4 linked regions of the Tribolium castaneum genome follow. The protein of the gene in region 4 purifies or fractionates together with the protein of the main gene of each other region. This does not show direct contact. Links are inferred from orthologs where the notes say so. Each region holds a gene or a part of one and is shown on either strand. Other genes may lie near its edges. The genes, in order: Sym, Fip1, CstF64 and Cpsf73.

Region 1 (7,664 bases), on a different chromosome or scaffold from region 4:
TTCTGCGACTCGAGCTGGCTTTTCAACTTGTTGATTTCTTCTTGCTTCTTTTCCAATTTCTGGGACAACTCCTTGACACTCCTCTCGTAGTCTTGCATTTCCAGGTTAAGGACGGAGTTTTTCTTGCGTTCGATATTGGAATGTTCAAGGGAATTTTTCGTTTGTTGGTGGTACTCGCTCTCGGCCTTGAGCGCCTGTTCTTTGGCCTCCAAGTCCGAGGTGAGTTTGGCGATTTTGGCCTCGTATTCCTTCTTCAAAACCTTATTCGCTTCGAGTTCCTTTCTAAACGTCGAAACTTTGCCGCTTATTTGCTTCTTCCAGGCTTCAGTCGTGACTTTCTCTTGGTTTAACTCTTCCAATTCTTTCTTGAGTATGGTGATTATCTCCTCGTTTTCGCTCAGTTTTTGCTTATCTTTGGAAACTTCAGCAAGGGTCGAATCCAATCGGGCGGAATATTCCTTTATTTGTTTTTTGTTTTCGTCCAATTCGTCTTGTAATTTATCGCACTGGGCTTGCAAAGTTGCGATGGTTTTCACGTTACTGGCACATTTTTGCTGAATATCGTTCTTCTCGTTTTGCTCCTTCACCAATTCGTTGGACAAGTCACGAACTTTCCCTTTCAGTTTCACGGCCAAGTTTCGTAGTTTTCCGTATCTTTCCTCCCAAGACCCTTCCAGATCTTTCATTCTGTTTGATTCCTCCGTTCTTGAAATTGTCGACGTGGACATGCACTCGCTATCGGCGTAACTTGAATCAAGATTCGAGTTTAACCGTTCTTTCAAATTCTCAATTTCGTTTTTCAAATCACTGATTTCGGAGGTGTTTGAGTTTAAGTCACTCGTGGCTTTAAGTCGCTCGATTTCGTCTTCAAGTTTTTTAATTATTTCCTCCTTTTGGGATATGTTGTCAACGTTTTTGTTGGCTTGTGTCTCATACAATTGCAATTTTTTCATAACTTCTTCGCAGTGAGATTGCAATTTGGAAATAGTCTCTCCTCTTTCTTTCAGTGCTTGATTCATTTCGTTCATTTCGGCCAAAAGTTCGGAATTTTCTCTCTTCAAACCTGACACGACTTCTTCCAGTTCGCTGTTTGTTGAATCCTCAGTTTGGCATTCCACTTGTTTGCAGTTATCACGGGTGGTTTGCAATTTTCGGTTCATTTCCACCAACTGGGCATTTTCTTGAACTAGTTTAAGTATTTCTTCACTGGTTTTATCAGCAATTTGCCTCTCCGTTTCTTTTGAATGTTCAAGTGCTTCTTGAAGACTGTAATTCTTCTGCTTCGCATCATTTAGCTCCCTCAAGTTTAAATCTAGATCCTCCTCCAGCTTGGAGATGACTTTTCGGTATTCAATGCAAATTTTTTCATTTTCTTCGATTCTGTTCTTGATCTCAATTGTGTCTTTCTTGCTTTGGTCGTCAAAAACTTTGATTTCTTCCTGATGTCTTTCCTCCAATTGAGACAAATTCTCAAGCAGACTCTCCTTTTCAACAGTGAGCGTTTCAACAGTTTGCTGGTAGTCAAGTTGAAGTTGTAACAATCTTTGATTTTCTTCAATCAATTTCTTATGTTCTTTGGAAATTCTCTCAAACTCGCCAAGTTCTTTACTTTTCTCGTCGTCGGTTTTATGTGCCTCAAGTTGTTTCAGATATTTTGCATTACTTTCTTTCAAACCTTCAATTTCCTTGTGATATTCAGAGTTCTGTACTTTGATATCACTAATTTCTTGGCACAACTTTTTTGAAGCTACACCCAACTGTTCTTTCCATTCTTCCACTTGATGTGAGTACGTTTTGAGCAAACGCAAAACCTCGTTTTTATTTTCCTTCAAAACCTTCACATTACCGGCCAGTTTTACAACTTTTGAGTGATAAAATTTCAGTCTCCCTTTAAGTTTCTCAACCAACTCCACATTTTCTCTTGTTTCATTTTTGATTTTTTCTAAATCCTCGACCAATTTCAATTTTTCCTGCAACTCTTGGCCTATCGTTAAAATGTTCTTATCCTTCTCCCCCAGATTCGTCTTGAGCACGTCAATTTTCTCCCTCATTGTGTTATTCTCAGCTTGCAACTTCTTAACTTCCTCTAAACTAATACTAAGCATCTTCTGCAACTCTGCAGACTTATCACTTGTGTCATCACTCCGTAACTTTTGATTCGCCTCTTCCAACATCAGCAGCTGATTTTGCTGTTCAAGTCCCAGGTTTTTGCACTCTTCGAGTTGCTTTTCCAGAGACTCCAGATGCGTAATCAGCTGCTCATTTTCATCCGTCAAACGCTTGATTTGCCTTTTATACGAAATATTCTCGCTTTCAAGCCTATCCTTCTCCTCACACAGACGTGCGTCTTGCGTGCAGTTTTGCACTTTATTCACCAAAGCGGCATTTTGGCTCTTCAAGTCTTCAATCGTGGTAACAAACTGCAACTTCTGTTGGGTCAAATTTTCGATAATTGCAGTTGTGGCATCTCCAGATTCCGATTTTAGCCTATTTTTCAGCTCGTTATTTTCCTCCTGGAGCGCGTCCTTCGCCTGTTTGGCCTTCTGGGCGAGAATCAAAAGCCGTTCGCACCGTTTAACCAATTCCTCTTTCGATAAATTCTCCAAAACGATTTTCTTGCCACTTTCGGATGGCGTATTCGATTCCATCTCGATAGTTACTTAATCTATTGTATTGTAATTTCCAAGTAATTAGCAATTACATTGTATTTTAATAATTTTTTATTATTTTGACACATCAATAGTATTTTGACAGCAAAAGTCGCCAACAAAAAGCGGAAAAGTTACTGTTTTTTGGTAACATGTTCACGTCACTTCTGCCATAACCTCAATCTTTGGCTTTCCAAAAATGGATGATTGGCTCTCATTTTCAATTAATTTAACGCTTTAGATAAAACTAGCTTTGTTTTCGAAATTTCGTTGCTTTAGTGGCAACAATTGCGTCATTTTTGGTTGTAAAATCCTCTCGACATGGATTTTACCATGAACGAAGTTTCCGACGAGGATTTAGTAAAAAACCGAGATTTAGTTGATTTCGGTAGTAAAGAGACGCGTTTTAGGTGACCCAATGGATAAATAGCGCTGCAGTGTCCCGCTCTGCTGCAGAAAAGCTTGAATACTTCCACAAATTGCAAGAAGTTTTGATTCGGAAGTCGCCCCATTTGCTGCCAAAGTTTTTACAAAACATGCTTAATTTCACGACTGATAGGAATGGGGACGTGAAAAAAGCGCTAGTGGGTTTTATTGAAGAGTTATGGTAGGTTTTATGCATTTTAATTGGTTACTTAACTTTTGTTTTAGCAAAATGCGCGAGTCTCTTTTACCTAAAGTAATGCTAAACCTTCATATGCTACTATGTGATGAGTCAATAGCGGTGCAAAAGCGCGTAATTCAAGCTTTAATCAGTATTTATCGCAAAACGTTGGCCTGGTTATGCAAGGCTTCTGTAATTACAGAAGAAATGGAAAACGCCTGGAAGCAATTGTCTGCCATAAAATTAGAAATTGCAAATATGATTGATAGTGACAATGACGGCATTAGGACTAGTTCAGTGAAATTTTTAGAATGTGTTGTGTTGTTGCAAACTTATCCCGACCAGGAAGAGAACAAGAAACCGAACGACTTCTCACTCGATGATGTTCCTCTGACGTTAAAATTGGCGCGGAGGCGAAAACTAGAAGAGGAAGCAAAGTATTTATTTTTTTTTAAATTCGCAAATTTCTAATTGAATTTTTTAGTACCTTGTTTGAGTTACTTTTAAAATTTTTTGGCTCTCCCCATATTAGCAGTGCCAACTTGTTAACCTGCCTGGGCGTTGTTACAAACATTGCAAAAAATCGGGCCGAATTTATGTCTCGAGTTGTCTCAGCTATTGAATCACTTTACAATAACCTACCTCCAACTCTAACAACAACTCAAGTGAATTCCGTGCGTAAAAAATTAAAATCCGAACTCGCTGGACTTATCAAACACCCAGCGGCTTACGAATTTGTGGAGAAATTAACCCCAATGCTCACCGATTTAGGTGCGTTTTATTTTTACGCAAAAAAATTTTTTAGGATTTTTTTCTCAGGTTATTCCCAGCAAGACATTCTTAAAATGGTACCGAAACCCGACGAGCGGCGGAAATATTGCAAGAGGACTCTCTCAGTTGAGTCCCTTCAGATCTACAATAAAAGACCTAGACTTGATCCTCAAATTGAATTCGATAACGACACCAATGACAGTGATTCGCAAACACTGCAAGAGTTGAATGAGAACTTTGTGTCTGAAAATTTCACGTTGGAAAGAGCGGTTCAAATGGTTTTCGCTTCTATGAGTAAACTGCCGGCTACAATGTCTCCCGATTTTGCGAAAGAGTATGGCAAATATGTCGATAGTGGAAAAGTTGGCCAATTTGATGTTTTGACAAAACTTATTGCCACGTATTTGACTGAGGCCGGGGTTTCGCCGTCTTCGAAAAGTTTTGCAAAAAAGGTCGAGGAATTTAGACAGCAGGAGAAGGAGGAAGAGGACAAGGAAGAGAAGGAAAAGGTAAGAAAACAATTTTTGCACACAAATAATATAATAATAAGTAAAACAGAAACAGTAATTTGCAATTCAGATTTCACATTTTCAGCTGTATTTAAGAAAAGATAAGATGTAATTCATTGTACCAAATATTTGTCTATTTATTTATTTATTTATTTATGTATTTATCTTTATCTGTTAGCTTATGTTGGTTCGGATGATTTGAGAAGTTATGTATCACGCATCCTGTATTTTTTTTAAGTTATGTTTTGATAACTTATCGTAATTGTGAGGTCAAAGAAATTTTAGTAATTATTCTTAAAAAAAAATATAATGAAGCCTCTATTTGTTTTACAACATGTTTTACACATTTGGTAGCTCCTGAAGAAGGAACGAGCAAAAGTTCCCCGAATCAAGACACTGAAACTGTCCGAAATCACCAAACCTATCGAGAAAGAAACAAAGGAGAAATTGTTAATAGGGTCCATAAACCGACTTTTAACCGCGGACAAAACAGCCGCAAAATGCTTGTACCAAAAACTAATCACCACAATCGCAGCCTGCTTTAGCCCCACTGTCAGACAAACAGTGTTGGCGTTTCTCCTATCAGACTTACGGTCTCACATAGACCTGGCCCTGGCGTGGCTTTTTGAAGAGTACGGAATACTGCAGGGCTTCTCAAGAGTGCCCCCTTTACGCAAAGACACCAAACTGGACAAAAGCTACAACATCTTGCTTTGCACATTTATAAACGCTTGTATGCACGACTCAGCAGTGCTCTGTCGATTGTTTTTGGAAGCGCCTTTAATAACAGACGAGGCTTTGGATAAGCTCCACCAGTTGTGCCGAGACGAGAAGAAATGCACAGCAGCTTTGGGGTTGTTGCACGATTTGACGGTCCGGAAGCCCCCCAAACAGTTGATGTTCCTCAACGCCCTCCTCTCGTACACGACGTACGAATTGAGCGTGGTAAGAGAGTGTGCCATTGGACACGTTTTGGAGTTGCACAAGAAGGTGGAGTTGAGGTTGGTGATTGAGGAGTTTGCACGAATGAATTTGGAGTTTTTGAAGTTGCAAAGGCCGCCGGAGAGTTTGTGTGGGTTTAGTCAAGGGAGGTTGAAGAGCGAGACTTGGGGCGATGATTTTATAAAAGCTTGTCTTATTCCGTATATTTCGCTATTGCCAGCCAATGAGAGTCTTATTCATGACTTGGCTAAGGTTTACGTACAGACGGGGGCCAACATTAAACGGATTATTCTACGTCTGCTTGAAACCCCGATCAGATCAATGGGGATGGACTCACCTGAGCTTCTAAAACTGGTGGAGGAGTGTCCCAAAGGCTCGGAAACTTTGGTCACGCGTGTTATACACGTTTTGACGGACAAGGGCCCCCCGAGTGCACAGTTGGTGCAAAGAGTCAGGGAATTGTATCACACGAGAGTGTCAGATGTTAGGTTTCTTATCCCAGTTTTGAACGGGTTATCAAAGAAAGAAGTAATGAGGTCGAGCGTCGTTTGTACTTTTGACTAATTTGTACAATTGTAGGTAATTGCAGCTTTGCCAAAGCTAATTAAATTGAACCCGGTTGTTGTAAGGGAAGTCTTTAACCGACTTTTAGGCTTACATGGTGACAGTCCAATTACCCCAACTGAACTTTTGGTCGCTCTACATTTAATTGATTCCACGAAAGCCGACTTGAAAACTATAATTAAGGCCACATCTATGTGTCTTCAGGAAAAACAAGTACGAATTATTTTCGCACCGAATATATTTCTCAAATTACCAAATTCCAGGTATTTACTCAAGAAGTATTAGCTGTTGTTTTGCAACAGTTAATGGACCAAACCCCGCTACCAACTCTACTCATGAGGACTGTCATCCAAGCTTTGGGCAGTTATCCCCGACTGTCAGGGTTCGTGATGAATATTTTGCAACGTCTGATCTTAAAACAGGTTCTGTCGTATTACAAAAAAAAAATAATCAATATTTTTTGTTGCTTTTTGAAGGTTTGGAAACAGAAAGTGGTATGGGAGGGATTTATCAAATGTTGTCAAAGAACAAAACCGCAAAGTTTTACTGTTTTGATGCAATTACCACCGCCCCAACTATCTGATGCGTTGTCAATTTGTCCCGAGTTGAGGGAACCGCTCAAAGAGCATTTGCTGAATTTTACTGAAGGGCAAAGGTCGCACATCCCGCCCACAGTCCAGGAAATCATTTTAGGAAGTTACGCACAGCCGCCACCAACGATTGTTCCGCCACCGGTGGTTGTAACTCCAGAAGAGGTAAGTCCTAGTGACTTTTAATACTATTTAAAATAGTTGAGATCGAAACTGTAATCAATTAAAAAGGCTTTGTTGGGTGGAACTGTTTTAGTTGCAGCTTAATCAGCAGTTCCAATTTTCTGCGGTTTTTTAGACAATTTTTTTTTCAGCCGATTGCTGCGCCCCCGACATTAGCCAACGAGCCTTTGCCGCCCGGAATGGAATAAGCGTTAATTTAACTTTTATTATCTCAATTTTATTAACAAATGAATAAAAAACCTTACTTTAATTGTGTATTTTTACCTACATTTGGAATGTAATTGAGACTTTTGAAATTGCGGAACTTTTCGTCGAACTGGACTCAGATTTGACGCTTTTAACGTCAGAAACGTCTTTTTCTTGATTACAAGAACTGCTGGACGTAGACCTTGTTGATTCTGAGCAGGCACACAAGGAGGCAATTGTGCGTTTTTCGGGTAATTTGACGTCATATTCGAGCGTGTAACGAGTAATCAGCGGTGCCATTTCTTGATAACGTATAGACATTTCCACCAAACGCTGCATAGCACTGAGATTAGCTTCCTTCAATTGGCGGATTTCCAAGTCTCTCTGAAAAGATAAACAAATAATAATTGGAAAAAATGTAAATAAACTTACGTCATATTTTTCACGTTCCTTGTGACGAACTTTCTTTTGTGCGAGTTTTAAACAACGTTCAGCTCTTTTGAGCTTTTCTTCTTTCTCAGAGCTTTCTTTCTCAGTTTTTAAGTACTCTTCCTCCAAGTCGAAAAGTGCGTCTTTGGCTTGATCGCGTTTTATTTCAAGCTCTTTTAGTGCATTTTGTACTTCTACGAATAATAAACGATGTTAGAACGTTTGTGTTGCATTTTGA
Region 2 (6,690 bases), on a different chromosome or scaffold from region 4:
ATTTTTCCTGCAACCGCTCGCCCTCTACGTCAAGGATAAGAGTCATGAAGTGAGACAAGCGGCGGCCTATGGCTGGGGAGTTTTGGCCCAGTTTGGGGGCGAACAGTTTGCAGGGGAAGTGGCCAAGATTATACCCTCACTGGTTGAGGTGATCAACGATTCGGAAGCGAAAGAACCGAGGAATATTAACGCGACCGAGAATGCTGTCGCTGCCGTCACCAAAATCATGAAATACAACCCGAAAGGAATCAATGTGGATGAGATATTACCGGTGTGGTTTAGTTGGTTGCCTATTATCGAAGAGGTGGACGAGGCGCCCCATGTTTATGGGTATTTGTGTGATCTGGTGGAGCAGAACAATCCGCATGTTTTAGGTGGGTTGGGTATTACTTTTGGGGTTGTTTGTAATTGTTGTTTCAGGTGCCGGAAATGCCAATATTCCTAGGATTGTTACAATAATCGCAGAGGCGTTTTTCAGAGAAGTGATTGAACCGAGTAAACCGGAAGGATACAGAATGGTGAATCTTGTGCGGCAGGTGCAGTCCAACGAGTCCTACTTTCAAAGTATAGTACAGACTTTAGCACCTGAATTGCAACATGCTCTACACGTTGCTCTTCATGCGCCGCCTCCATCTTAGTTGAATTTTATTCGCAAATTCTTTTTTATAATTCGATGGAAAATTTCAAATGAGTTGTCGCTGATTATTTTTATATAATTAATGTTATTTTATCAGATCTTTTCCATTATTTTTTAGAACTAAATTCTGATTAAAATATTTCAGCATGTAAATATTTTTCTTTTGCAACTCTGGACTGTATGTGATACTCTTCATTTTGGATAGCATCGAGGACGAACATATTTTTGATTGTTAGTGTTTTTAAATATATTGAAAAATATCGACATGATGTTAAGCCACTTCAATAAATCGTAATTTTCTCTACTTTATTGTTGAAAATGCCATCCACGATTATTCCCTTCCCTAAGAATGTTCCCTCCTGTTTGGTGGAAAAAGGACATGGAGCGGGAATAATATTTAAGGATTGACAAAACTTTAATAAGAAACATTGTTGTCAACTTTTATTAAAAGCCATTAGAAAATACACTATTTGGCTTTCTTGGATTTAATCTTACGCATGTAAAATTCAAGTTCTTTACCTTCCAAGATATAGCCATCTGCCCTTCCACACTGTCCAGGTCGCGACGCCAAACAAGCTGGAAAAAAAAACGTATTTAAACGCAATGAATTAACTAAAGAATATTAGTTGAGATAATGAAAAATCAGAGTAACTATGACAAGCAAATCATCGCTCAAAAAGAAATTCAAAACGAATTCCATTAAGAATTGAACTCGCTTTAATTTTTTCATCAGGGAAGTAACGAAACGTGTTAGTATTTCAACATCACATACCCAAAAGCCTGCCAGTTTGGAACTGTTCTTCAAGGGCAGGTTCAACTTTCGCGGTCTTTTGCCTAGTTTCGTACTTCTTTTGCACCTTTTTGCTACGTTTCTTATTTAAAATAGCTTCTTCCTCAGCCGTCTGTAAATAAATCACACTTTAGTTATCAAACTTGAAAGTCCCGGCACATAAAATTGGAAAATAGTCAGCAAATGCAAGAAATTTTTAATCATAAATTTCATATGACACGCAAGAATTCATCACAGTGGAATGTTGGGCATTTTTAGTTAAGTGATACGTACCAACTTCGCGCCCTTCTTGCGTCCCAAAGTCAAAATATAGTGGCTTTCGTACCACTGCCTGAACGGGGTGGCGTCCACAACAACAATCGCATTCTTTACCAAAGTCTTGGTACGAACCAATTCATTGTTGCTGGCGTTGTAAACAACGTCAATAATACGGGATTTGCGAGCAGTGCCTTCGCTGCCCCACGCAAAATTGCCGGTATCTAACCTCAAGGCTCTGTATTTCAAGTTGCCACCACGCGTACGCACATAGTGAATCCTTTGGGGCCCCAACTTTGTATTGGCAGCGGGACGACCCAACTCGAACTTCCTCTTCTTGCGGAGAGGCTTCCTTTTGCCTCCTGTAGCCCGCCGCTTATGCCAATGGTCTCTGCTGATACCTGAAATACGGCAATGTTTAGGACCCAAAAAAATAACAACATGAAGGGCGTAATTAGGGACTGATTCAGATCGCTGTGGGATGGTTTGGAGTCGTCAGCACAACACATCGGACACTTTAAACTTTTTCTCATCATGTTATTGTGAAAACAAGACTAAGGTTATGTCACGAAAACCTACCATATCTCTACAAAACTGACCAAAATACGGGTTCAAACGCACAATATTCTAATCAAGAAATAAAAGGAGAATATTTTAAACCAATAATTTCGGGAAATACCAAAGGATGATTGAAGATTTTCTAAAAATATCGAAGCACGTACTCACCCATTGCAATGAAATAAACTGAAAGAGTGAGACAACAGGAAGTCACTAAATAGGTGAAGACGAAATCCCTAGATTTGACTCAAGTTTTGCCGCAATTCATTCGCATTTATCCTTTATAACTACACTTTAATTAAATTAAATGTTCTTTTAAAGCCGATTTAATTAAAAATGACCAAAATCACGGCTTTAATAATTTTATAAATTTTCGTTTCCGCAATTTGAAATTGAAATGTCAAAATGGCGGACGATGCTGAAAACGACGATCAATGGTTATACGGCGATCAGCCCGAAAATACGCACGAAGAGCCCCCAGCGGACCCGCCCCCGGTTGAAGAGCCGCCTGAGAAACCCGAAGAGCCAGAACCAGTGCCTCCCCCGAAGGTACCTAACGAGAAATCGCCGAAAACGTTTCCTAACCGCACTTTTAGCCTATTGACGATGACAAGCCACCAGGAGTTGACGACGATGAACCCGAGAAAGAGTCTGCCAACGAGAAAGAAGACCAAGAGGATGGAGAGGTGCAGCAAAATGGTGAAGAAGAGGACTTGGACGACGACAGTGACGATGACGTGAATGTTGTTATTGGGGATATTAAAACAACCCCGTCTTACACTTCGCTTAACATCAAACGGAGCGGTTTGCTGACCACCACAGCCCCCGTTGATAAGTCCAAGCAGCCCCCACAACCCGGCAAATTTAGCGTGGAGGAGTTCGATCAAGCTGGAATGATAAATGGGGTCCCTGCGACTGAATACAATTTAGATTCTTTGGAAGATAAACCGTGGCGGAAACCTGGTGCTGATATAACTGATTATTTTAATTACGGGTTTAATGAAGACACATGGAGGGCGTATTGTGAAAGACAAAAACGGTAATTTGTTAATTATGCAATTGAAAAAATCACACTAATGACTTTAATAGAATGAGAATGACTGAGTCGGGAGTGGGGTTGGCGGCACAAATGACTTCAATTGCACGAGGTACAGTTCCAATTATGAACGATAACAGTAAATATTCAGGAAATTTCCTTGGAATGCGCAAAGCAGGGCCACCTCCAGGGAGACGTATGACGGGGTCTATTGACGTAATAGGGGGCACAGCGCAAAGATCCACCCCCACGCCCATCGGCAAGGTGGAGCCCCCCAAAATGAACGTCATTCAGGTGCAGCCCCCATCACCCTCTCCAATTTTTTGTAACATTTTTTCAGGTCATGACCGCTGATAGGAGGGAGTATAGCCGGAAACCGACCGGTTTTCCAGACATGTCCGTACCGCCCCCCAACACTTTTGAGGATTTCCAGCCCGAGTACGGTTTCAACCCCGAACCGGAGCCCTTTTATGGGGGCTACGAACCAACGCAGGATTCGCAATGGGGGGCTGAAGGTGCGGCTACTTATAAATTGGCATTGATGCTAAAACTCTGACTTTAGGTCCTAATCCGCTGGGGCCGCCTCCAATGCACATGGGCCCACCCATGAACTTACCAATGCCTGTCCCATCACCTAGGAAGGATAGCCCAACTAGGATGGACTCGAAAGAGCGGGACAGGACGAGGGAAGACAGCAGGGCGAGGTCTGAAAGGCCCAGGGATCGGGAACGGGAGAGGTCCCACAGGAGGGAAAGGTCAAGAAGTAGGTCGAGAAGGCACAAGTCAAGGTCCAGGAGCCCCAGTCATAGGCACAGGAAAAAGAAGTCAAGGCGTCATGATGAAAGCGATTAGTTGATTAATGATTAGGCATAAAGTATAGTTTGGTTCATCTAACCCTACAAGCATTTTTTTGTATTTATTTTTTTGAAATAAATCAATCTCTTGTCAACTGTCGTTTTTTTGCTACCAACCCGACAACGCAAAATTACAACTGTTCTAAGCTAAATAAATAAGTACCGGCACCGTTCAATTTATTAATTAACGCGAGTTAATGCGTTGTAGCCGGTGATACAGTTAATAATGCAATGATTATTGTTAATCCGACTTTAAAAATTAATCAATGCCGGTTATACGCACGCGCAGACTTTAGCCTATACAAAAATAGGAGAGGTTTCTGTCAAAATTAAACCGAGTTTGTGTACGTTCGCAAGAATACTCTCCTAAATATCGATTATTTTGGTACAGTGCGTATGAAATAACCAAATTGTTGAACAATATGTGAAAATCCGAGCGAAAGCACCGGTTTCCGCAGCGATGTAATTGAAAAATCGCGTTAACCTGAAATGAAACAGCCGCAGTGAGATTTTCATTTCCATCAATTAAAACCGTGATAATAGCCCCAAAGACAGCCAAGTGAGTGTCTCGATGTGTGTTCCGAAATAAAAGTGTGTCAAGCAGCCCCTTTCAGCGCTAGCCGTGGCCGAGAACCCCCCCGAAAATGTAAGTCGGCTTCCCCCCTGACACGTTTTTTGCTTAAACAATCAAATTACAAAAGCAACTTGATAGCATGTTTGTCAATGTCGCACTAGTTCTTTGTGTCAAACAATAAGTCGTAAGGTATCTCTCGAGTGGCGGCTCAAGCCTCAAGTTCACCTTTTTGCAGGTTTTTGTGTAAGTTATTTGTGTGTTTTTCTCGTAGTTGTAGTGTTGCCAGGCACTGTTTCCTGATATTCAGCTGTTTAGGGTCAAGGTCAGATGGGGGCGGACACCCCTTGTTGCAAGCATTTGCTTTTGATGAAGCGCTAAACTCTCTCTTGCTTTGATAAATGTTTTTTGGTTGCTTCCTTTCGGCGAAGATTAATCGGTTTTTCGGTATGTTAAAGGTTTCGGAAAATAATTACACCCTGCGGCTTTTATGAGGGTGCTTACCGAAAATCGTTCATCATCTACAACATGTGCACATTTTTTGCAAACGGACGGACGGTGAAAAACTCCACTCGGTAATCGATTCGTTGCTCAAATGACGGCTAATTGATATTCAGAGGAGGAACTCGACATGACTTGGCGATGTAGAGCTCCAATTCTTGAAAGCTTTTAAGTTTTGCCCCTTTGTGACTAAAACCGGAGATAAATTGTTTAGATTATCCTGCGAAAGATTCGCGTGTTATGCAACTAATTGTTTTGTGAGAGTGGCATTTTTTATATTCACTTGTGGATTACAAAGGGTGCGAAAGAGTCGATTTATAATGATCATGTCCCGGATATAGTCACACAGGGGATAATAAATATCAGCAGACCTTCTATATTTCTGTGAAAATCTATTGCAATAACAATAACATTTGATGTTTATTTATCCAAAAATTGGCTTAAATCGGTATTTATTTTGTCATCCATTTCCAACTTTGGCCATTGGCCAAATCGTATTTTCCCCACTGGGCAATTAATTAAAAACGTTACACTAAAATTACACAATTATTTTCTTAATTAAAGGTCAAAAAATTATATAAACCTGCTTTATTTTAAGAACTTTATCAGTGTTGATGCAAAAAAATGTGATAAGGTTTAATTTTCATATCTGGCAATTGAGACTGGACTACGTCACATGTAAATTCGTTTTTTACCTATCAGCAGTTGACTACGGAAAACTGAGCTGCTGCCTCTTATCAATGAGGTAAAGAGGTTTTTCCGGTCTAGAATGATAACTCAATTCGTTCAGAGTTGAAAACGTCTTTTGGTTTACTATTGTTGTGCATTTTTACATTAAAAACAGCGTATTTTTTATCTGCGCTGCTTTTTTCTGCTGTTCTTGCATTGTTTGTGTGTATGCGTTACATGGACATTAAATCCACGTGATTGCTAACACGACTTATTATAAAAGATAATTCCAATTACAGACCAAGAAGTATCAGCGATTGTTTATTGTTTTCTACCCACCATTGTGATATCGAACAGAAATACACGTTTAGTAACTTAACATTTTTGTGTTGTTTGATCGTGGAGAACAATCAGAAATGTAGGTTTTAATGGTTATTTGTTAGTGTTTGTATTTGTTGTGGAATGGTCAAATCAATCACTTGGGCAAGTAACGAAAATAACAATAATAAATTTTTAGCACAAGAAATTGGTTTGTGTGCTCAACAATCTAAAATTAATTCGGAAACTACCACTCAAATAATAATCAAACGAACAATAAAGCGTTTATTTTTCATAAAATACGCTTTTATGGCTCATTATTTTTGCATCTCTCTACTAGAATTTTTTGGTCTTGTATGAACTACGTTTAAGTTCGTCATAAAGACAGAGGTTGTGGACTCGCGACAAATACAATTTATTTATTTACTCTGCGAATTTATTGTTTAAACAACAACACAGACACGACAAATTTGTAGCAAACAACAAAGTGCTTAGTCAAAC
Region 3 (7,142 bases), on a different chromosome or scaffold from region 4:
TCTTGCAATAAAACCGACAATACTGCACTCGAATATAGTTTAATATCGATCACGTGATAATTATCCTCGGAATTGTCACGGGGGAAGTACAGACGCGCACACTTTATGAAACAATTGCCATCGTCTAGATACACCTGCAGGCCTAGAACGGTCTCAGGCGGCTGCAAGTAACAAAAAAGAATCGATTCTTTGTTTAAGTTGACTTGGGACGTCCGTAACGAATCGCCGCAAAATTGGAAACAATTGAAGTCATTCAAATGACTGAACTGCCTACTAATTTGCTCTCTAGGTGTCGCGAAAATCGCATCGACGCTTTGCTTCAAATGCTTGTACTGTTGTATCAGCGACATCTCTTTGAAGTGCCTCAAAATGGAACTATTTTTTTCGATGCATTGGTTCTGGGCCAAAAAATCAGTCCATTCGTTCCCGGACATGTCTGGTTGGATCGTCAAATTGCCATCGCTTAAATATTGCCCCAACCGCTCCATAATGAACCCCTTTTGTTTGTTATTCCGACTGATGTGGTCAAAGTTTTGCAAAAATTCGGTGATGTAAGCCAGGTCTTGCTGAGTCATTTTGGGGATTTCGTTCGGTATTGGCTCATCCAGAACGTGCATTATTGCCGTGTAGAGCCAGCGGAAGAAGGCCTTGTAATTGATGATGGAGTGATTGATGATTTGCTGCATTTCGCTGCCTTTGATCAAGAAGGCGCCGTTCGAGGAAATGGCGCCGGTAATGGCGGCCGCGTCCAAACCCAAAACCTACAATCACCCAATCACCATTTTTTACACTAATAACTTCTTTTCAATTGAAACGCGTCCTAAACGTGGGAGCGAAAAGCCGAAAAAGGCGTTTTAAAGCCGTCAGGGGTTTCCCCGAATATTTTGGACTTTTTTCACGTAGTATTTGCTCGATTTTAAACTAAATATTTATTTATTTTGCCAGATAGTATTTTGTTCGTTTAAAAAATCAGACACTATATTCGTTTCAAAGCAAACCTGATTGATATTTGTTTGTTTCACTCAATGTAGCTTGTTGCGTAAAATTTCGTCTAAAATACGCCTGTTTTTTAACTATTTCTCAGACTTTGAAATTATCGAACTAAATGTGATTTTTCCATTTTTGTGCATTTTTGATGGTTTTTCTTGCCAAGTTCACACAAAATTAAATTTTAATTTTTTTGTTGAGTTGGCAGCCACCACACACTTGTACCAACCTTATAGCGGTGTTCCAGTCTTGCCATCCCCCTCATTTCGGCCAAGTGATAGGTAACATTCTGCCCAAACTTCATCACATACTTCAGCATCAACTTCTGAATGTTGGAATAACTCATCTCAATCGTCTGCCCGAACTTCTCCAACCCTTTCTTCGTTAAATCGTGTATGAGAAAGGTCTTCATCTCATCCGAGCAAATTCCAAACGTCAGCAAATCCAAAAAATCAGCCGTGACGCCCCCTTCTGGCACCTTGCTCGCATATTTCGACAACTTGTTGTCCATCTCCAGCAAAATGCTCTCCCAGGACTCGGTGATGGTGGTAATAGTGTTGGAGAGATAGGTCACCAGTGAGGTCAATTTTATGTGTTTGAGGGCCAAAGCGAACAGTTCGTTTGTGTGCGTTTTGAAAATTTCCGAATCGAAACAAATCAATTTAACGTTGTTTTCGTTGTCTCGCACTGTGAAAAACATGCGGTTCAGGTCCTCGTTCAAATGCATGTTCTGGATGGAGCAAAGACAGTTGAGAGTTTGCTTCAAGTCAAGGGAAGCGCACGGGAAACAACCGAAAACTCGCACGTGCACGGTGCCCTCACTTGTCCCAATCAGGAGCAAATTAAAGTCGGTTTGCTCTTGCAAAATGTTGGTTTTCTGACCATCGTCGTTGTTGGGGGAATCGAACTGTTGTAGCACCGGTTCGGGCAAAAAATTACCCGATAAGTCCTACAACTGGGAAATTAAACGAGCACTAACATTCGGGTTTTTTTACAATGTGTTTCATGTACTGATTCTGTTTACTGTCTTCGTCAACTGAAGGCAGTTTCCCTTTAACAGTCCGGTCTTGCAACCAATTGAGACATGAAACTTCGCCCTTGATGTCAATAGTGTGCAACACCGACTTATTCTCGACCTTCACAAGCAGTATTTGGCCTGAAATTGCACAAAACAATGGATTTAAATTATTTCCAATACTTTTTTTACAATATTTTACCAGAACTGTACGCAATTGCTATGATTTTGCCGTCAGGCCTCCAGGCAATACTTGTGACCTTTAACCCATCCTTGGGGGCACTGAGACTCCACGCTTTGGTCCAAGTGAGTCGATGAAGAGCCACCTCTCCTACAAAGACACCCAAAAATGCCGGTTACTGCAAATGGGGGTTACCTTTGATATTGGCAAGAGCGACAAGGTCCATACGGTCGCTCCACACCATTTGAACAATCTCACTGGCCACATTGCGCTCTTCGAGCTGTTTAATCGCCTGAACTGTGCTCATTTTCCAACAATTAGTAACAAAAAACAATTTTCAAATTGTAAGGTTACGTTTAATTCTGTCATGGGTACCAACTGTGCGTCTGGACCCGATTTGCTTTATTTAGCCAAATGTGCACAAACAGGCCTAGTCAGGCGTTACGATTCACTTTAGGGTTGTAACCACAATAGATAAACCAACATTTTTGTTATTGTTGGCTTTAAAATGCATAATTTTGTACTTTTTTAAAAGGTAGAGGGTTGGTAACGCTGACCGTTTGTTGAAATTGGTGTCCCAGGTGTCTTGATTACTTCGTTCCAAGTTGGAATTAAACAATCACCATGGATAATTTAGAAGCAAATATCATGGACAAGTCAATGCGTTCGGTCTTTGGTACAAATTATTTAAATTTTAAGTGATAATTATAACCCCATTGCTTCCAGTGGGCAACATCCCCTACGAAGCCACCGAAGAGAAGCTCAAAGACATTTTCGGCGAAGTAGGCCAGGTCCTGTCATTCAAGTACGTTGCCCTGCCCCCTGAAGCCCCCTAACGCCTGAATTTTAGGTTGGTTTTCGACCGCGAGACAGGCAAGCCCAAAGGCTACGGCTTCTGCGAGTACCGCGACCAGGAGACGGCGCTCAGCGCCATGCGCAACCTCAACGGGTACGAGATCGGGGGGCGCAACCTCCGGGTCGACAACGCCTGTACCGAGAAATCGCGCATGGAGATGCAAAACTTGCTGAACCAGCCCCCGGTCGAGAACCCCTACGGCGAGCCGATTCAGGCCGAGAAGGCCCCCGAGGCCATCAGCAAAGCCGTGGCCTCGTTGCCCCCCGAGCAGATGTTCGAGTTGATGAAGCAGATGAAGCTCTGCATTCAGAACAACCCCACTGAGGCCAGGCAGATGCTGCTGCAGAACCCCCAGTTGGCGTACGCTCTGCTGCAGGCGCAGGTGGTTATGAGGATTATTGACCCGCATACGGCGGCTGTGAGTTGGGGGTTTGGGGGCGTATTTATATTTTATTGGGGGGTTTTAGACAATGTTGCATCCGCAAAATCCCGTTCCTTCGTCTTTGACGCCCAAGGAAAAGACTAATCCAGGCCCCATTCCGATTAACAGTAATTATGTCTCGAATCCCACGCCTGTGCAGCCCCCAAGACAGGACTTTCAGCCGGTGCCAGCCCCCGCGATTCATAATAATTCCAATCCGGTCTTCACAGGTGATTTTTTTTATCACAATTGATTATAAATAATAATAATGTTTGCGTTATTGCAGGTCAAGACGTTGATCTAAGATCACTGGACCCCCGAGGGGCTGATCCTCGCCTCAGCCGCCTGGGCGACCAGGACATGCGCACTTTGCCCGGACAACTCCCCAACCCCCTTCCGCCGCCACTTGTCGAAAAGTAAGTAAAATAATTCAACCTTGAGCCCTTTTACTCAAATTTAAACAGTTTCACTAAGCAGGATCAGAAATTGGAAAGGTAAATAACCATTTACAATTGATTAGAAATACAATTTACTGATACTTTTTCTTAGCTTTAATAGGGACCCACGTGGAGGTCCGGCCAACTTCCCATCTGATCCGAGACAACAACAGCGAGCTGACCCAAGACAGAAAAATATGCGTATGTGTGAAGTACGTAATTGAATTGGTTGTTGAAAGTCTGATTTTAGCCCCTCAGCAAAACGCGATGCCTCCGCAGCCGGTCAGAGCCCCGCAGGGGCCCCCCAGTACCCCCCAAGTTCGCCAAGCTGCCAATGTTGCTTCAAGTATAGGTACAGCTGGGGCCTCAGACCAGGAAAAGGCGGCCCTGATTATGCAAGTCCTGCAATTGTCAGATGAGCAGATTGCAATGCTGCCACCTGAACAGCGTAATAGTATTCTAGTTTTGAAGGAACAAATCGCCAAAAGTGCACACCGTTGATTAATTAAGTCATTTCCCCAAATCAGTTTAATTTTTACAGTTTACATGATAATTAAAAAATCTTTAAAATTATTAACATAAACACTATTTACAGTATTGTGTATATATCATTTAAAAATCAACAACAAAAACGCACCCTCTAGAAAGTACAAAATAAATGAGCGATTCCTTCGGTTGTTTACGATTAAATTGTAAACAAGAGGTGGATTTATTCGTTTGCAACTTTCAGTTACAAATCTGGTTGTAATGGTTTTGTTAAAAAATTAGCTAGTTCGGCACGTTGGTACTTCTTGAATGGACGATCCGTCTAAAGCGCTTCCTTCGATCTGGTAACCCATGCTCGCCAACATTGATTCGAATGGGTCCATTGACATGCGATGCTGATTTGTTTCGACTACAGTGGAGATGCATTTGACGATTCGGTTGTTCACTTTGCCGTCCTAAATAAACGACAACGGAAACTCCAACATTAATAAAATTAATAGAAAAAAGTTACTATATTTCGGAGAAAAATTTCCGATCAAGTGACTAAGTTATCCGTTTTCGAAAAATCATACTAGCCTTTTTTTTGGAACCTTTATCGAATTAAAAAAAAGCCGTAATGTAGAGTGGCCAACTTAATTTCAAAGTGAGACCAGCAATTGTGCTTACCTCAGGCCGAGGCGACCATATTTTAACGGCCGTATCAATCCCGCTGGACGCTATAACACAGGCACTAGGGTGTGGTTGAATGCAATTAACTATCGAGTTATCTCCAAAGAGAGCCCTAACCACATTCATACTCTTCTTATCCCAGATAAAAATGATCCCTTCGTCCGATCCTGCACAAATATAATTATCACAATCACCTGAAAGCCGCCGTGAAAAAACCAACACTCTACAACCACCACAAACAACCTAAAAAATTCGCCTCCTTGATATCAGTCGTGGTATTACAATGCCCTATGTAAATCTTCTCAAAATCGAACGAATCCAAACGTAACTTTTTCTCATCATCTTCCACCTTCTTCACTCCCGTCTCCTCAAACTTGACGCTGTTTTTGAGCGCTTGCAACTCCTCAACGAGGAATTTCACCTGCGAGGAGGTTTCACATTCGGGGTAAAGTTTTGTAAAGTGTTTCAACCAAGCGTTGGCTTCGTCTTCCCACTTCATGGCAATTAGGCATTTGATTAATCCAATGTAAGCCTGTTTATGGTCCGGCCAATGCTGAATCACGTGTAAATAATCACGTGCTGCCGCATACAAATCGCCCATCCTAACAAGAAAAAAAAAATTAACAAGCCTTTTTTTTTGGCTATTTGTCTCAATACCACTTGCGTTGGTACGCCTGTAGCGCCCGCCTCATGTAAAAGCAGGCACAGTCCGTGTTTTTCTCAAACAAGTCGGCGCTGACCCCGTTAAGTTCAGCCAACAGTACGTTCTAAAAAAAATTGCATTTTCCTAGTAGTGACTGGGGGGATAATTACCGGTTGGCAACAATTCCGGTAGGGTTGATGGGGCCGTTTAGGTAAGTTTTGGGGGATTTTGAGTTCGTTAATGTGTCGGCTATTATTTACATCAAATAAATAAATCTGTTCACCCCCGATATTTACCAACATTTCTGAACCGGCGGAATTGAACGCGATATAAGTGACTGATAGTTTGATGCTCATAATGCCGGCATTTTCGCGTGCCAGGTGCCCGGGGGCGTAGTATTGCACACAGTCGCTGTTTTGGGGCTGCGGGGACGTCCTCTTCGACGGATTAAACGACAAATTCGCCTGAAAACCCAAAAAATGCAAGTTTTTCCCCAACATTTTACCTATTTTACCATTGATACTTTGATCATCCTCCTGTCATACAAGCGCACGAAGCAGTCGTTGGCGCCTATTGCGATATAGTGCGATTTTGTGGGATTCACAGCAATGCATTTGATTTCCGATTTGAAGCTTAGGTCGACTAAGACCTTGCTTTGCGTGGGACACTCGTGGGGTTCCCGCAAGTCGTATTGCCTGCAAGTGAGTTAAGGTGTTTGGTTGGGCAAAACAGTTGCCTTACACAACTAGGCCATCTTCGCCCGCTGACCAGAACAGAGTAGGCTGGTCGGGGGCCGTGGCCAGGCGTTTGACCCGGCCGATGTGGCACGCGCAGTCCAGCAAGGGGGCGCTCTTGTCGAGGGCCCCCGACACGCTCTGGACCACCACTCGGCAATCCCCGGCCGCCGTCGCGATGACATTTTCGTCGGCTAAAAACTGCAAAAACGCTCAGATTCGGTGCCAAAATGATCGGGTTGTTTACTTTAACGGAAAAGATATTGCCAATGTGTGGGGTCGGGATCACGTTTATTTGCTTGTGTCTGAAGGGGTCCCAGAGGATGACGTTGGTGTCGTCGGAGCCGGACGCCAGGTGCCTGCGAGTGAACGGTCAGTTGCTGCAAGGGGCTAAAGGCACTTACAGTCCGTTGGGGCTCCATTCCAGGCAGTTGACGCAGCCCTGGTGCCCCTCAAGCTCCGCCTCGAGTCCTAACCTCTGGATGAAATTGGCGCTGAATTGGGTGCGCTGTTTGAGGACTTTTGCTGCGGTGCTGTTCAGTTCCCGGCATTGCATCAACTTTAACACGTTACGGTTGCTTTTCCATCCTTTTATTTTGTTTTCCATCTGATTGAAGAGTCGCTATCAGGATCAATGTTTGCTGCAAGGTCAACAGGACTCACCTTTGCTTTAGCAAATCGGGCATCATAAATACAAATTTTTCGAAAATTTC
Region 4 (7,678 bases):
TCTTTGTGTCACTGCGACCTAACGGCCCTCACATTGAACATTTGTCACCACTTTGAGACGACAATAATCGTGGCAATGATCACTAGCTTCAATTACGTTACTTCCACTGTCTATTTTTTAATCTACTTTCTGGCACGTTCTTACGAAGCCAATTTGTTTGTTTTGTTCGGTAATAACTTTGCTTTTCTTTCGTTCTACGTGTTTTGGCTTCTTCTAATTCTGGAGATGTTCACGAGGACCGAAAAAGAGGTGATTCCTGAGCATCTGACAATTAAACCGAAACGATTTTTTAGGCCAATATAACCGGACGTTACATACACGATATTTGGAATAAGTTTGAAGCGAATGGAAATATGACTAAAAAGCTGCGACATCTTCAGCTAGTTTCGATTCGTTTTCTGAACAATAAACTGGAATTTAGGGCAAGAAATTTTTTTCGACTGGATTGGAGTTTTTGCCACACTGTAAGATTTGTGGAAATTTTTTTCAGTGCTATCGCTTGTTCGTTTCAGATGATAGCTGCCATAACCACTTACGTTATTATATTAGTTCAGTTTCATATCTAATCTTTCTATAGTACAACGGTTTTAATAAAACATTAAATTAACAATAAACTTTACAAAAAATTCAAAATTTACGTCTATTAATGTAACAGTCTGACATTTCTGACAACTACTGTCATGGGTCTCCAAAAATTAAACTTTACAAAAAATTCAAAATTTACGTCTATTAATGTAACAGTCTGACATTTCTGACAACTACTGTCATGGGTCTCCAAAAATTAAACAAGTATTTTTTATCTAGTCTTTTGTGACTTTTGTATATTTGGTTGCGTACATTAGGCGGAGGCCTTGTACAGTTATAGATATTAAACGTTGTGTATATTTTTTAATGAGAACACGAAAGTATTTCGACTGTTTACCCAATTTATTAAAAAAAGTTATTTTAATTCGAAGACATACACACAAAAAATGTTGTAGATATTGCACTGTACTGTAAAAATAAATAAAAATATGTAAGAACAGTGTAGTTATTACATAATTTGCTCAAAAATTTACAAAAATATCTAAATACAAGCGAGAATTAGTCGCTCGTGCCCTCGTGCTATGTAAAGAAAGTAAAGGAGATATTTCATAACTTTCCACCCACATAAGAAAACAAACAAACATGCGATTAATTCAAATGCAAACGACAAAAGGTGAAAGGTCAATTTTTTAATCAATTTATAAATAAATTATCAATCGTCTCAAGTGTTGTAAATACCGATAAACCACATCGCAACAGAGTTAATCAACTCTTCCAAAAGTGAGGTTAGAAACTGTTTTTTCCCTCAATTTTGCAAAATTATTTATTTCCAGATGGGCCGCCTCGTCGAATTCCTCGAAACCCACCGAGGCCTCGTCGTCCTCTTCTTCTGCCTCCCCGCCAGCTACATTTTCAACCTCTTCCTAACAATCCGCAAAACCCTCCACCGGTTTTTCTTCAGCAGCCCCACAAACCACGATTCGCGCGTCCGCGCGATCCAGAAACAAATCCAACAATGGAACAAAATCCCCAAAGACGAACGAAAACTTCTATGTACAGCGCGCCCCAACTGGCTAAGCCTCTCCACCACCTTCTACCGCAAAGACCTGTGCCACAAAATCAACGTCGATCTGTTCGACATTCTGCAATTGGATGAACACAATCTGACCGTGCGGGTCGAACCCATGGTCACTGTGGGCGAAATCACGCAATTTTTAATTCCGCGGGGGTTCACCCTAGCTGTGACACTTGAAATTGCCGACGCCACGCTCGGGGGGCTCGCGCTGGGCACCGGCATGACGACGCACTCACACAAAGTGGGGCTGTACCACGAAACGGTGGTTTCGTACGAGGTGGTTTTGCACGATGGGAGTCTTGTCAGGGCTGCGAAGAACGAAAACGCTGATCTTTATAAAACCCTGCCGTGGTCACACGGCAGTCTGGGGTTTCTTGTAGCCTTAACCTTGAGACTTGTGAAAGTCAAGCCCTTTATCAAAATGAATTATATTCCGGTCGAAGGGAAGAAAAACTACTGTGATATGATCAGGTTATTGTCAGGCGATAGTGGCGATTATCCCACTGAAGATTACGTGGAAGCGACTATTTATAGCCCTGAAAGGGCCGTAATAATGACAGGGTCTTACTCCGACTATGACCCAAACCTGCCGATAAACCACGTAAATCGCTGGTACAAACCGTGGTTTTACAAATACGTGGAAACATTCCTCAAAAAAGGCAAACACACAGAGTTGATCCCTTTACGGGAGTATTTACTGCGCCACAACCGGGCCATTTTCTGGGTCGTTGAATCAATGATCCCCTTCGGCAACAACCCCCTTTTCCGCCTATTCTTCGGCTGGTTGTTGCCCCCAAAGCCAGCATTCCTCAAATTCACGACAACCCCCGGCGTACGAGTTTACACTTTCACAAGACAAGTGTTCCAAGACATTGTCCTACCAATTCGCAAACTTGAGGATCAAATCGATAAATCGGACGAACTTTTCGACGCCTATCCACTTCTGGTCTACCCATGTCGGGTTTATGACAGAGGACCGGCTTCCGGTCAGTTGAAAGCGCCCCGGAAGGAGTATATCGTTGAGGGGACCGATTATGCAATGTACAACGATTTGGGGATTTATGGGGTGCCTGGGTATGTGAAACGCAAGGAGCGGTATAATCCTGTTTATGCGATGAGGGAGATGGAGAAGTTTACGCGTGATATTGGGGGTTTTTCGTTCTTGTATGCCGATATTTTCATGACTAGGGAAGAGTTTGAGGAAATGTTTGACTTGACGTTGTATGAGAAAGTGCGGAGGAAGTATGGGGCCGAGGGGTCGTTCCCACATCTTTACGATAAGGTCAAGCCGGAAATCGATGTGTTCGAAGTGGGGCAACGATTCGAAATCAAGTGAAAATGGCATACAAGTATTTTTCTACGATTAAAAATGTATTATTGGTTGCGTATTCATAACTATTTGTTAATCCAGTTTTTATTTTTTTATGCATATTTTACTGAAATAATATATTCTATTACGTAATAAATTATTTTTTCCATATTCCAAGCGTACTGGATAAGTTATAACCGCACCGAACCGATTTTATTAATTTTATTACACTCACACGATGTCTTGATAAGTTTCAAGTCCGTAAAAATAAACTACATTTTTTTGTACGTTTATGCATTCGTTTTTTATAACAATTTGATAAAAAACGCAGACAGAATTTACGAATTATTCATAATACGATTATTAGCTCAGTGATCATTGCATTAATTATAGTCTACTCAAGTTATGGTTCTCATTGCCAACTTGGTAATAAAATTTTCTATACTCACAGCTACAAAAACTCACCTTCAAATTCGAGATGTGCTTGAACACGAACGGGTTGTTTATTGCGATTTGTCGCTTAATTTTGTCGTTCATGGCGTTGATGTAAGTCTGGTACACAGCCATACATTTCTTAGCCAATGAGGAAGCATAATAGATGGGAATATCGTGTAAATCTGGATGTTGGCTCCAATACTCATCCAAAATTAGAAGCAACTCCTGTGCCCGTCCTAATGCAAAAACGGGGATCAAACAGCGACCGCCTCTGTTAACAATATCGTGAACTAGATTCGTAAAACGACTTTCACGTTCTTCGCGTTTTTCGTGAATGTGGGTACCGTAGGTAGATTCCTGTAATATTTTTTTGAATAAATGTTAGTCAAAATTTAAGTCGTACTGTAATTAGAACATCAGGGTGAACTGTTGGAATCTCCGCAGCCATTAAATGACGGTCTTCCTGACGCGAAAAATCGCCAGTGTATAAAATCTAAAACGAAATTTTCAATAAAGTTGTTTGAAATTTAAGTGTCGTACTTTAACGCCAGCTATCTCAATCATAAACATAGCGGCGCCCAAGACATGTCCCGCATTGTAAGCCCAGAATTTGATCCCCAAAACGTCTTTCTCTTCGTGGAAATTTATTGTCTCGATTTTGTCCATACTAGCCTCCAAGTCCGCCTCAGTGTAGAGCATCTGTTCGGTTGCAATGTTGCTGCAAATTCGAACACATTTCCGATCAAAGTAGGTCAAGGGCCAGTTTAAAAACATAAATCTTATTTTTTTTTAATAATAATTACGGAGAACTACCAGAAATTTTTTTCGCCCTTATTAAGTCACAATTTACCTGACTTTCACATAATCTGACAATAACCACCGATAAATCGCCTTGGTGGCGTGGGTCATAAAGCAGCGACCCTTGAAACTCGTTTTTTGCAAAAACCAGGGCAAAGCCCCACAATGGTCCAGGTGAAAACTGGAATTTCACGTTACAGTTATTAATGTACGAAAAAAAAATGTTTCGTACTGTGATATTAGCAACAAATCGATTTCGTCGGCTTCAATTAAATCAACGAAAGGCAACGCATCCATGCCTGAGAGCCCAGGATGGATTCCACAATCAAGCTACAAGTTTAAAGTCTTATAAACGAATAAAAATCGATCAAACTGACCATAATTTTTTTCCCTTTAAATTCAAGCATTATGCAAGACCGTCCCACTTCCTGACCGGCACCCCTACAAGACAGTGTTAACACAAAATTGTAATTTTTGGAATAATTACAGTGGCCTAATGGTCAAAAGGTCGCTTTCTTCGGCTGGGACTTGGGAATCGGGTTTGCGTTTATTGGACATGATTTCCAAAGCCAAAAACTTTATTTTTTATGCAGCTTTCATGATACACATAACCTAAAAAAATCACTTTCGAAATCGGGGGAATTTTAGGTTTTGAGGTTGGTACAAAATTTAAATTCAAATCAACACGTTTTTCCACCTTGCTGTCTCCCTTAGACCTTATCATACACACCTAAAATGTGCCTGAATTCTGGGTGTTTTGGGGGTTTCACACAAAAAGTCACTTTTTTAATAATCATCTATTTCTACAAACAAAATCGCCTAATACATTTTGGTCTTGCATTATACAGAAATAAAAAATTGGAAACAGTTTTGCTTCATTATAACAATCTCAACATAATAATAATCAGCTCATCCTATTATTAGAACAAATCTCCGCCTATAGTACAAGTGCAATATGTTTATAGCACTGACTTCTAATGGTACAGTATTGAGAAATTTCCATTATTATCGTTATTGTTGCTTTGAAAGTCACGTTAAAAACGTGCTTGAAAGACATTTCTTCTATATAATTATAACAACGCGCTAAACGTCTCTCAAGCAATTCTTTTTCAACCAAATAAAATATAAATAAACAAAAAATCTTGTAATAATACGTGTGCATTGTCAGCTTAGTGTTTGGCTACGAAGAACCCTATTTCACAATGGCAACATAAAGTAATTCGCTACGTTTTTATGAGGACTTATTTTGATTCAAATGATAACGTAAAATAAATAATCAGTCAATCTCGATGATGAAATGAAACCTAAAATAAATGTGCGCTCGGTAATAGTAACAAAATTAACGCATCACAATAATAAAACACAAAACCCATGATATGTTAATTCTGCAACTATTAACAAAATACTGAAAGCTGCACGACAGTACGCATTGTTACGTATAAAACGCTTTGATACTTGAAAATCCTACAATTAAATGGCATTTACACAACCAAAAATCGCAGCTGAATAAAACAGCTTCCTTAATCCGTGAAGGAAAGAAAGGAAAAAAAATAGACGGCGCCACTTTAATCAAGGAAGCTGCAGAATAAAATAACTTTTGTTCGTTTTGGCCTTTGGACGCGAGTCCGGACACATCACAATTTCAATAAATGCATGGACATTAGACAACCTAATAAATTGTGCGGTGGCACTTTGTAAATAAATAAAGTATAAAGTTTATAACCGATAGTACGTACGTTATGAATATTATATTTTTCGAGACATTCATAGTTATAGACCTAAGCAAGATATTACACGGACCCTATACATATGCAATATAAATGCGTTCGCGTACATTACGATGCTATCTGTCTTCAAGCTCTCACGTCTGCAAAGCCGTGGTGATTTCGTCGTGGATCGTTGCTAGTTCTTGTACTCGCGACGCCAGCTGCGAATTCAGCGTGAGGAGGATTTGGCGCTGAGATTCGTGGGCGCTGAGAGCGATGTCCAGCTCGGATTGGGCCAATTTTGCCGTCGCCTGGAGCTCCTGGTTTTCCTTCTGCAACGCCTGCGGGAAAATCACAGTTTTTCAAAGAATTTTTTTTTCACAAAGTAACAGATCATTTTTTTGTGTACGGGAAAATTGAAAAGCAAATTTGAGAAATACTACAAATACTTCTAGTTGCCCAAAAGAAAAAAATATGTGACAAACGAAAGTTTCTAACTCGCTTCATTTCGATGCTTTAAAGTTACCCCAAATTTTTAAGATATGAGCGTAGAATGCAAGAAAAACTAAATTTTTATTTTTTCCAAATTTTTGACTTTACCTGAATATCCGACGGTTTCTGGAAAGCCAACTGCTTGAATTCGCTATTTTTGGCGTCCAGCTCGGCCTCCATCTGTTCGAGGCGAATTCGCAGACTTTGAATTTCTTGGCGCAGTTCATCGGCAATGTCGCCGCCACCTGATCAATAAACAAAACTCTCAATTGTTCTAGTTGTGGGAGAAAACGAAACCGCGTGTCAAATAAACTAGATGCAATAATTATTATCATTTGATTGCTTTCCCATTTACCATATTGCAGAAATGCAATTTGCCATATGTTGCCGACTTTAAGCACCGATTCTTATGCAATTATTACACCGATTTGAATAAACAATTGACAGCCAACTCACCTTTACTATTTTCCAAATCTGCTTGATACTTCGCTTTCATTCGCATATTTTCTTCCTTAAGACTTGCCAATTGTCGTTTCCACTCATCGACGTTTGCCGTGCTTTCTTGAAGTGCACTTGTTAGTCTTGCATTGTTGCTCTTTAACGTGGCCAACTCGATTTCCCATTTTTTAGCATTGGCCGAACTGAAACCATCAATCAGACAAAACGTTTTACTAAATATTAGCACTACTAATCCAATTTCATAACTCTTCCCATATTTAGTTTGCTAAATGGGGCGGAAATAATAACAATCACGTAATATTTATTAGAACATTATTAGTGAAACTGGAAACAATTAAGCAACAACTTCACATCCTTATCCCCAGGCGAAAAACTCGAGATTTTATCGCTTCTTTGCCAACCGGAAGGAAAATGCAATTTTCATCGAATTTAGGAAATGCACTGCGAAAATTAATGTTCCCCTTAATATCGAATTAATAAACAATTACGTAACGGCGCTTGGTGAAGCAGAACGCATATTTTTTCCGTCCGTAACTGGGCTCCTGTCAATGTTCTCGTTTAATAAAAACCTATTATTTTTATTATATAAATTAATGTACCATTTCATGAATTTGCAAAGTACGGCTTTCTTTAGCATAAAAATTCAATAAAAAACGCAAATGTATGGATATTAATGCACAAAGACCCTAATTGCATTCTTTATTGTTATTTAATACCGAAATTGCAAATATTCGGCGTAATGAAAAAATCGTAGCAAAGAACGGTTCAACAGAAGTATTGTTTTTTGTTTTCATAATTGCAATTAAAGCGAGTATGTGTATATTAGCTCTGAATTTAATTATTCACGCACAATTTCTTTACAAAACCCAATTACATTCA

Evidence for each region.
Region 1: the proteins of Cpsf73 (region 4) and Sym fractionate together in Homo sapiens (co-fractionation; 6 studies listed by BioGRID and IntAct, with this or other methods). This does not show direct contact. The link is inferred for Tribolium castaneum from reciprocal best matches to the Homo sapiens genes CPSF3 and SYMPK.
Region 2: the proteins of Cpsf73 (region 4) and Fip1 purify together in Homo sapiens (affinity purification with mass spectrometry; 5 studies listed by BioGRID and IntAct, with this or other methods). This does not show direct contact. The link is inferred for Tribolium castaneum from reciprocal best matches to the Homo sapiens genes CPSF3 and FIP1L1.
Region 3: the proteins of Cpsf73 (region 4) and CstF64 purify together in Homo sapiens (affinity purification with mass spectrometry; 3 studies listed by BioGRID and IntAct, with this or other methods). This does not show direct contact. The link is inferred for Tribolium castaneum from reciprocal best matches to the Homo sapiens genes CPSF3 and CSTF2.

Annotation. Positions count from the first base shown.
Region 1 is NC_087398.1:8,154,594-8,162,257, forward strand, and holds Sym (symplekin), read left to right. Parts: upstream 1-2,821; 5' UTR 2,822-2,969; coding exon 2,970-3,008; intron 3,009-3,058; coding exon 3,059-3,255; intron 3,256-3,299; coding exon 3,300-3,689; intron 3,690-3,736; coding exon 3,737-4,023; intron 4,024-4,071; coding exon 4,072-4,532; intron 4,533-4,886; coding exon 4,887-6,002; intron 6,003-6,053; coding exon 6,054-6,251; intron 6,252-6,301; coding exon 6,302-6,460; intron 6,461-6,514; coding exon 6,515-6,793; intron 6,794-6,942; coding exon 6,943-6,999; 3' UTR 7,000-7,061; downstream 7,062-7,664. Other genes in the region: GRIP and coiled-coil domain-containing protein 2-like, read right to left, coding at 1-2,648; Ccdc39 (coiled-coil domain-containing protein 39), read right to left, coding at 7,076-7,381, 7,430-7,620. UniProt on the Homo sapiens protein: Scaffold protein that functions as a component of a multimolecular complex involved in histone mRNA 3'-end processing. Specific component of the tight junction (TJ) plaque, but might not be an exclusively junctional component. May have a house-keeping rule.
Region 2 is NC_087398.1:1,029,444-1,036,133, forward strand, and holds Fip1 (pre-mRNA 3'-end-processing factor FIP1), read left to right. Parts: upstream 1-2,631; 5' UTR 2,632-2,645; coding exon 2,646-2,789; intron 2,790-2,836; coding exon 2,837-3,279; intron 3,280-3,329; coding exon 3,330-3,570; intron 3,571-3,616; coding exon 3,617-3,791; intron 3,792-3,838; coding exon 3,839-4,128; 3' UTR 4,129-4,225; downstream 4,226-6,690. Other genes in the region: Karybeta3 (importin-5), read left to right, coding at 1-374, 421-638; RpS8 (small ribosomal subunit protein eS8), read right to left, coding at 1,104-1,213, 1,410-1,539, 1,701-2,083, 2,409-2,412.
Region 3 is NC_087400.1:318,724-325,865, reverse strand, and holds CstF64 (cleavage stimulation factor subunit 2 tau variant), read left to right. Parts: upstream 1-2,604; 5' UTR 2,605-2,807; coding exon 2,808-2,859; intron 2,860-2,909; coding exon 2,910-2,988; intron 2,989-3,033; coding exon 3,034-3,457; intron 3,458-3,506; coding exon 3,507-3,690; intron 3,691-3,746; coding exon 3,747-3,876; intron 3,877-3,924; coding exon 3,925-3,954; intron 3,955-4,009; coding exon 4,010-4,098; intron 4,099-4,147; coding exon 4,148-4,398; 3' UTR 4,399-4,494; downstream 4,495-7,142. Other genes in the region: APC4 (anaphase-promoting complex subunit 4), read right to left, coding at 1-761, 1,217-1,936, 1,983-2,143, 2,205-2,333, 2,379-2,490; WD and tetratricopeptide repeats protein 1, read right to left, coding at 4,662-4,838, 5,050-5,246, 5,296-5,654, 5,710-5,819, 5,866-6,159, 6,210-6,390, 6,437-6,630, 6,677-6,788 and 1 more. UniProt on the Homo sapiens protein: One of the multiple factors required for polyadenylation and 3'-end cleavage of mammalian pre-mRNAs. This subunit is directly involved in the binding to pre-mRNAs.
Region 4 is NC_087396.1:20,617,118-20,624,795, reverse strand, and holds the start of Cpsf73 (cleavage and polyadenylation specificity factor 73), read right to left. Parts: upstream 4,787-7,678; 5' UTR 4,701-4,786; coding exon 4,630-4,700; intron 4,584-4,629; coding exon 4,520-4,583; intron 4,473-4,519; coding exon 4,375-4,472; intron 4,324-4,374; coding exon 4,195-4,323; intron 4,063-4,194; coding exon 3,885-4,062; intron 3,838-3,884; coding exon 3,748-3,837; intron 3,702-3,747; coding exon 3,375-3,701; intron 3,081-3,374; exon of another isoform or gene 2,937-3,080; coding exon of another isoform or gene 1,359-2,936; intron 1,306-1,358; exon of another isoform or gene 1,122-1,305; intron 652-1,121; exon of another isoform or gene 513-651; intron 465-512; exon of another isoform or gene 294-464; intron 250-293; exon of another isoform or gene 1-249. Other genes in the region: delta(24)-sterol reductase, read left to right, coding at 1,359-2,936; homer protein homolog 2, read right to left, coding at 6,004-6,189, 6,449-6,585, 6,797-6,981. UniProt on the Homo sapiens protein: Component of the cleavage and polyadenylation specificity factor (CPSF) complex that plays a key role in pre-mRNA 3'-end formation, recognizing the AAUAAA signal sequence and interacting with poly(A) polymerase and other factors to bring about cleavage and poly(A) addition.